Linked DNA regions of Xenopus tropicalis. The protein of the gene in region 1 interacts with the protein of each later gene in a biochemical or structural test. Links are inferred from orthologs where the notes say so. Each region holds a gene or a part of one and is shown on either strand. Other genes may lie near its edges.

Region 1 (3,733 bases):
GTGTTGGATCCTCAGGTGTATGCACAGCACAATACAGTTTTATATAAAAACAAATGCACTTTTTTTTTTATAAACACCCCCAGCCCACTGCTGGACACTTACAGCCCAATGCTGGAACTAGAGGCGGGAAAACAGTGCAACAGGAAGGGTGAAGATGGAAGAGAACTGTCTGAACCAAGCTGTGAGGGAGGTACCATGTGAATCCAGCAGGGGGCGGTGGGGAGCCATTGAACAATGTGGGGGAACAGATGGTCAAGCAGGGCACCGGGCCAAGTAGTATTGCCTTTGGTGCCAATAGGACTTGGGCCAGTTCTGTTTGCAGTTAAATTAGGCAACAGAGTGGTTGGGCATGACCCAATCAGGGCTGCTCCTGCCAGAAAGCAGTGAGTGGCCGACAAAAAGCTGCCTCTATTACTAGGACAGGGGCCTTCCTTCCACTGCTCAACCATAAAAGGCTGAACTTGACACCTCTGCAATGTAATTATATATATATGTATATATATCTATATACACACATGGTTGTGATTCATCCCATATGAATATATATCGTTACAAAAAGAACTTTTGCTCAGACACTTTATTGTTTATTGTACACCTCCAAAGGGCAAGTAAACACCTCCGTTTCTTTCCAAACAATCAGGATCATGAAACGTCCTCCCATATATATATATCTATATCCACACGCTAAATACTTTGTAAAATAATAGGTTCAAGTCCAGAATAAACCCCCCCAAATGCCCTTATTCTAATGCAGCTTAAAAAGTTGTGCCGGGTAGCTTAATTTCAATAATTAATAAAACTAGATACATATCTGCCTCTATGATCATTTATGAATATATATTAATATATTTATACAAACGCCCTAACCTGTGCTCCGAAGGGGAAACAATTAGACCAAATTGATAACTGATTGTAGAGCGGTTGTGCTGCTGTATAACAACATGGCGTGGAGCAGATATTGGGCATTTAAAGGCACAGTACTTTTGTTTTTCCCCAAAAACCCACTGTATATCAGAGAGACTGACCTGGATTCTCCCTGAAGCCATGGCATTAAACCTTTAAAAAAGAAATATATATATATATAAGGCACTATAATTCATGGTTAGGGAATCGGCAGTTTACAAAGAATAAAGACGAGAGGCTTCACATTTCCTTGCCATTAACTGTATCCAGACATAGTGAAATAGAAGTGGTTAATTCTGGCCATTTATGGTGTGTAAATACAAATATTATTTGTGTGACATTTTGGAAAGCTGTCCACTTTGGACTAACTCTCCAGCACCCCCTAGGGTTGGTTTTGGTTAGCGCTCGGCCGTGAGGTCCAAGATTGCCGCCACTTTCAGCGTTCTAGGTGAATAGGCCCAGTCGGGACACTTTGGCCGACAGGAAGGAGTGAATGATGAAGACAATGGTTTTTGGACAGGAGTGCAGGTCGAGTTGCTAGAAAAGAGTAGAAGTGTCAGTTAGTAAATAGATTCTGGAAGCCATATGCATGAATGTGGTCTGTATGTGTTTGACATGAGGGAGGAAACCCACACAGACACAGGGAGTATATATATCAAGGCCATGCTGCAATGCTAACTACAGTGCCACCTTACTTATGGAGTAGCACTCCATGCATTAGGCCACAGTCCATATCGGGGTTGCGGGTGGGACCTAGTACTGCCCACTTCAAAGCTGGCTAAAAGATATTAGAAAAAACCTTGCAATCCTAGGCTGACCTTCCATGTTGGGCCCCTAATGGACACAGGTCACAGTTGTGTATTTTGGTGAATTGCTGGCATTTAGAATTACTTGTCATCTGCCAGAGGTCTATGCCAGCTCCCCCTTGTGGGACCCCATTTCCACAAAATAGCTCTCCCTCCAAGCCGTGGTTGGGCAGCAGTCAGTGCTGGATTTCTGTTTAGGGCGCCCAGAGGCCGTCCCCATTCTCCGCCCCCCCCCTTAGAATCATTCGCATCCTTTGAGCTCACATATGGAGCACCTCAGTGCGGCTGGGCAGTATGCCATCCCTAAATTTATGCCTCCCTAGGCCCGGGCCTTGCCACAAATCTGGGCCTGGCAGCAGTTGTTACTGGCCTGACAGTTATAGGGGTTGTTCACCTTCAATATAACTTTTTAGTATATTATAGAATGACCAATTCTTAGGAACTTTTCAATTGGTCTTCATTATTTGTTTTTTTTATAGTTTTGGAATTATTTACCTTCTCTTTCTGACCCTTTCAAGCTTCCAATGGGGTCACTGACCCAGACAGCCTATAAACTATTGCTCTAAAAGCAATAATTTTATTGTTATTGTCATTTTATTATTGCTTATCTTTCTATTCAGGTTAAAAAACTACAAATAATTAAAAAATGAAGACCAAGTTCAACAATCCATTAAAAGGGCATCTAGGAGTACCACTATTAAGGGACATCTATCTTAGGAAATTTACTTGCCCTACTGAAGGTGCAGCCCAATAGACCCCGTGCTCTGGTTGGTGGAAACAGTACTATTATGCCCACTATGCCACCTACAATGGGTAGGAGACACACATGTACATAATGAGCTCATTGTGTGTAAGCAGATGAAGCCCAAACATGGCTGCCCACACTGGGAGCTCCTTTCCAACATGGATGACAAAGAGCTAGTTACAAGCATTGTATGGAGAGAATAGTATTGTTTCCCCCAACCAGAGAGTGGGCTTTATCAGTCCGTACCTTAGGTGTGGAACAGGTGTCCTTAAAGCGAAGCTATCAGACAATCATTTGCCTGTGATTGATATGAACTACTTGCTGTGGGCAGGGCAGATTCACTAAACTACCCCAGGCCCCCACAGGTAACATGTCTTGGGGGCCCCACCAAAATGGCCCCACGATTGATAATGCTGGCCCTGAAAGAGAATAATGAATAGTGACGGGTAGAGTTACATTTTCATACCGAAGACCATTGAGTACTTACAAGTTCTGCCTCGGGGTTGCCGAATTCCAGATAGAGAATTCTGACACCATCATCAGACGACATACGGAGCTTCTCGAATGGCTGGTGGAAGTGTATCACCTTGTTAAGGCCGGGTTCCTCCGTGAAGAGAGTGAAACCTTGATCAATGTGTATAGACAGGGCACACTCGTTCCCACCCCATGTACATGCTGCAGGGAGAGAAGAGATGTGTGTTTAGGCAGGAAATAACTTCTCCATCATATAACATATATATATAAAATATATTTGGGTGAGCAGACCCCACAACTGCTCAGTAAAGGCCAGTAAGTACCACAGACAGGATAATAAAGGGATGTTGGCCACTACGTGTGAGCATTGTGTAAAGGAAGGGGGCGATATTTAGTTTTTTTTTTTTATGCTGGGGGCCTAGGGCTATGAAACAACAACATACAGCTTTTCAGTCTGAAAAATACTCCCTAGAACATGTATGAGCTGTCAGAAGGGGCTGTTGTGTGTGCCATCAGCCTTAGGCAGTCAGACTGAAAAAACCCGGTGGGCCCTGGCCCTAGTGGGCCCCGGCGGCCCAGATCCGATCCCCCCCAGGGCACTCCCGCGATCCACAGTCTCCCTCCCCCGACGCGCCGCAGGAAAGTTTCTTTTAGAAGTGCTCAGGGGAGGGGGTCGGAGGGTGTTGGGGGCCTCGGCAGGGGTGAAGGTGGCAGGGACCATTGGGGCGGTGTAGGGGCCACTGAGGCAGAAGCCCCAGTTTGCCCTGCACCCCCCTAGTCCAATCCTGGCCTTAGGATTAATATA
Region 2 (3,587 bases), on another chromosome or scaffold:
AAAAGGGATGTAAAGTCATTTCTTAAAAACACATATATATATATGTTCTCAGTACACGTTATACAACTTTGTAATGTATGTCTGTTAAAAATGTTGTACCTGTTTTGAGATACAGGCAGCTTTCTTATCTCTCACTTGATTGCAATTCCCCTTGAAGTTCAGCGGCTGCTGTCCTTCCCACTCGCAATTGATTTATATATTATCGGCAAAGCAAATTCAAGAGTAAATAACATAGCAGGTATTATAAGTTATTCCCTTTATTGCTAGTGCTCTATAACATGAACATGTCTCTTATTTCTTGCAGAAGGATAAACTGACATTCAGGGGCTGTTTTATTACCATTCAAGGCTGAGTTTTTCTACGTTTTGCAGCAAAAATTGTGTTTTTCTTGTTGATTGTAGGTTTTTTTGGTGTCAAGATTTTTGGGTGTTTTTTTGCAATTATTTTATGGGAAAAAAAGTGATAAGAAAAATGGCCACATCAGGAACTGCAAAACCCAAAATCAAAAGTTAATAAATTGGCCCCCTAGTGTTTAAAATGAAGAATGTAGCTTTTAAAGTGTAGCTTAGTTGAATACAGTAAGATTAAAAAAATATTTCTCATAACATTAGTAAAGTAGTAAAGTTTAATAATGGATATTCAGTTGGCCTTGTTCTGGGAGAAAAGATTGTTGGTAATATTGGTAGTATTATTAACATGATTGCTTATACATTTATTATCATGATGTTACATTATGACATAATTAACATATGTTATAATGCGGTCCTTTAAAAAATAAGTATTGTGAAATCATGAATTGTTCTGGAAAGGTACCACGCGTCTTCCTGCGACATACACTGCTTTGATGTTACGGTCATCACCTTAAACAACAAAAAATAGACTATATATAAAGTACTGAAATTGTTTATTTTTATAACAAGTTCTATAACTTGTTTAATATTTTAGCTAGATAGCACTGGAGCTTCAATTGTAAAAATAGGCAAATGTCCAGATTTACCGTTTCTATTGTTGTGATGTAACAAAATCTTTACAATGTGCCACCCTTGAGTAAACCTTAACCTGACTGGCCCGAGAACTGTGTTATGCAATGCCTCACTGACAAGTTTCTGAAGGCACTGGTGTAACCTGTCACAACAGAGGCTTGCATTCTGTTGGCTGGCTTGCCTCTCCAACAGGAGACCATTTTGAATGGAGAGGAGCAGAAAGCATGGGCTATTCCTAGTAAAGGGCCTGGTGGACAATAGAGAGTTTGCAAACGATCTGAGAGGAAGTGCTGCTACTAGAAGTGTTGGATGGATCAAATGCAGTTGGCGCATGGTGTGCTCCTTGCCGTGCACTGTCCGGGTGTAGTAGCCTGGGCAGAACTGGGGTCTGGCAGAGCATCTATGGCCAAGAGGCATGGCTCTAAAGGAAACCAGGTTAGTATTTATGTGTATGGTACTTTTATTCCATAGTTTTGCTTTGGTTCTTGTTTTGTGTCTCTCTTGGAAAACTAAGCAAAAAGTAGTGTCTGGGTGTTGCAAAAGAAATGTTCCTACTTAAAGTCAACAATCACTGGGGAGGAGGTGAAAAAAGTAACCCACACCAAACAATCAGTTATTAGCAATGGTTAGTTATAATAACCAATGCTGGGATAAGCTGACCCGGCAGCCTAGGCAACCTGGTCAGTTTGGCCCTGCCCCAACCAGCCCCCATCCACCGTGTGTGCACTCGCGTGCGCAAATGAGCGCACAATGCACACAGGGTGGCAGGGTTGCCAGGGCCGCTGCAGTGGGGGGAAAGGGTCCGAAACAAGAGGTAGGTAAAAGAAGAGGTACCTGCCTGGTGCCCCCCACCGTTGCTCCCTAGGTGCCTTTTTTGCCTACCCCTAGTTCCGGCCCTGATAATAAATAGGGATGCACGGAATCCTGGATTTGGCCAAATCCAAGCCATTTTTAGCAGGATTTGGATGTGGCTGAATCAGGAAGCCTGGCCTGGCCACCCAATTCTTTTGTTGAAGATTCAGTATTTGGACAAATATAACAAAATATGGATTCACTGTATGCCCTGAAAATATATTTTAATAAAATACTTACCTAAATACAAAAACCTCTGAACCATGTCCTGGAAAAAAATAAACATGAAATGTAATCATTAAATCACTATTCATATAATTGTACTGCAAACTTAATATGCAGTATATAAATCAGTAACACCAAAAAACTAAAGTGTATTAAAATAATTGAAATAAAATGTACAGTTGTCCTGCACTGGTAAAACGGGTGTGCTTGTTCCAGATACTTTACTATGTCATTCAAACTGGATAAAGGAGAAAAGGCACAGGTTACACAGCAGATAACAGTTAAGTCCTTTAGAATACAATGGTGTTTTATTTGTAATCTACTATGTCACCTGTGCCTTTTCTCCTTTTTTCCAAATTGAGTGGCTGCCCCCATGGCTACACAGCAGCTTATGTATATTAACTATAGTAGGGTTTCTTAAGCAAGCATGCAACTTTTACCAGTACATGGCAACAGTACATTATATTTAATTACTTAAATAGATTTTCATTTCCTGGCATTACTGTTCCTTTTAAAGGAGAAGGAAAGGTAAAAACTAAGTAAGCTTTATCAGAAAGGTCTATGTGAATACAGCCATAATTTCTTATCGAACTGCTGCTCCTCATTGAAAAGAAACACCACATTTCTTTCCCTCTATTCTGAATATATGATCTGTTCTCCCCTCTCTGCGGTGATCTGAGCCCAGAGCACTGAGATACAGGCATGAAAGTGAAGTCAGACCAAGTTTAAATGGCAGCCATTGTCTTTAACAGAAGGCACTTCTAGGGCTGTTAACTCAGGTATGGTAAAGCATGTATTAACTAAGGGACATTAGGCTTTAATTACAGATCTAAAACTGAAGAATTCAGGCTGGCCCCCATGCACACTTGAGCTGCTTTTTCACATAATAACAGGCAAACTATTTCTGCAAATCTAAAGTATGACAAATGGAGCAGGAATTAAGTTCTCTGTGAGTCTTGCTCCTGGATTTTAATGTCATAAAAACAACAATTTTATAATATATTATTTGCAGATAATTCATTTAATAATATATATTAATAGTAAGTACCTCCTTGGAGAATTGAGAAAACACATCAAATGGGCTGTTGTGGATTTCAGGACTGATTAGCAAGGCATCAAATTCCTTGTTAATTTCAAAGTTTCCAGTTATGTGGTCAATATTCAAAGCTGTGGGAATAACAGGCTCATTCATTCAGTTATTTTGCTTTGTACAAAAACAGATCTCATGAGAAGATATTTATTCATAGATACAGAGAGATTGAATTAACATTGATACAGAGAGATACATGACTGTCTGCCAGAACATTCTTTCCAGAGGAACAATGCCATCTTGCCATACAAAAGTAGAGTCTGTGCTAGACACCCATATACATATGGGTCCATACATATTTTAGCCTTTTTCTCTTATGTTCCACATAAACTCAAAAACCTCAGTGGTGGTTAATGAACAGATGTTTAACTACCTTGACTTCCTCCAAGGGTTGCAAGTCGGAATGCTTCCTGATCACTTAATACTTTTTTTCCATT

What was found. The genes of interacting proteins can lie anywhere in the genome.
Region 2: the proteins of snta1 (region 1) and gda interact in a test that uses a peptide from one of them, tested with the Homo sapiens proteins (2 studies listed by BioGRID and IntAct). The link is inferred for Xenopus tropicalis from reciprocal best matches to the Homo sapiens genes SNTA1 and GDA.

The regions. Positions count from the first base shown.
Region 1 is NC_030686.2:41,886,557-41,890,289, reverse strand, and holds the end of snta1 (alpha-1-syntrophin), read right to left. Parts: intron 3,130-3,733; coding exon 2,942-3,129; intron 1,441-2,941; coding exon 1,348-1,440; 3' UTR 563-1,347; downstream 1-562. UniProt on the Homo sapiens protein: Adapter protein that binds to and probably organizes the subcellular localization of a variety of membrane proteins. May link various receptors to the actin cytoskeleton and the extracellular matrix via the dystrophin glycoprotein complex.
Region 2 is NC_030677.2:130,514,200-130,517,786, reverse strand, and holds the end of gda (guanine deaminase), read right to left. Parts: coding exon 3,524-3,587; intron 3,228-3,523; coding exon 3,109-3,227; intron 2,104-3,108; coding exon 2,076-2,103; intron 861-2,075; coding exon 790-860; 3' UTR 608-789; downstream 1-607. UniProt on the Homo sapiens protein: Catalyzes the hydrolytic deamination of guanine, producing xanthine and ammonia.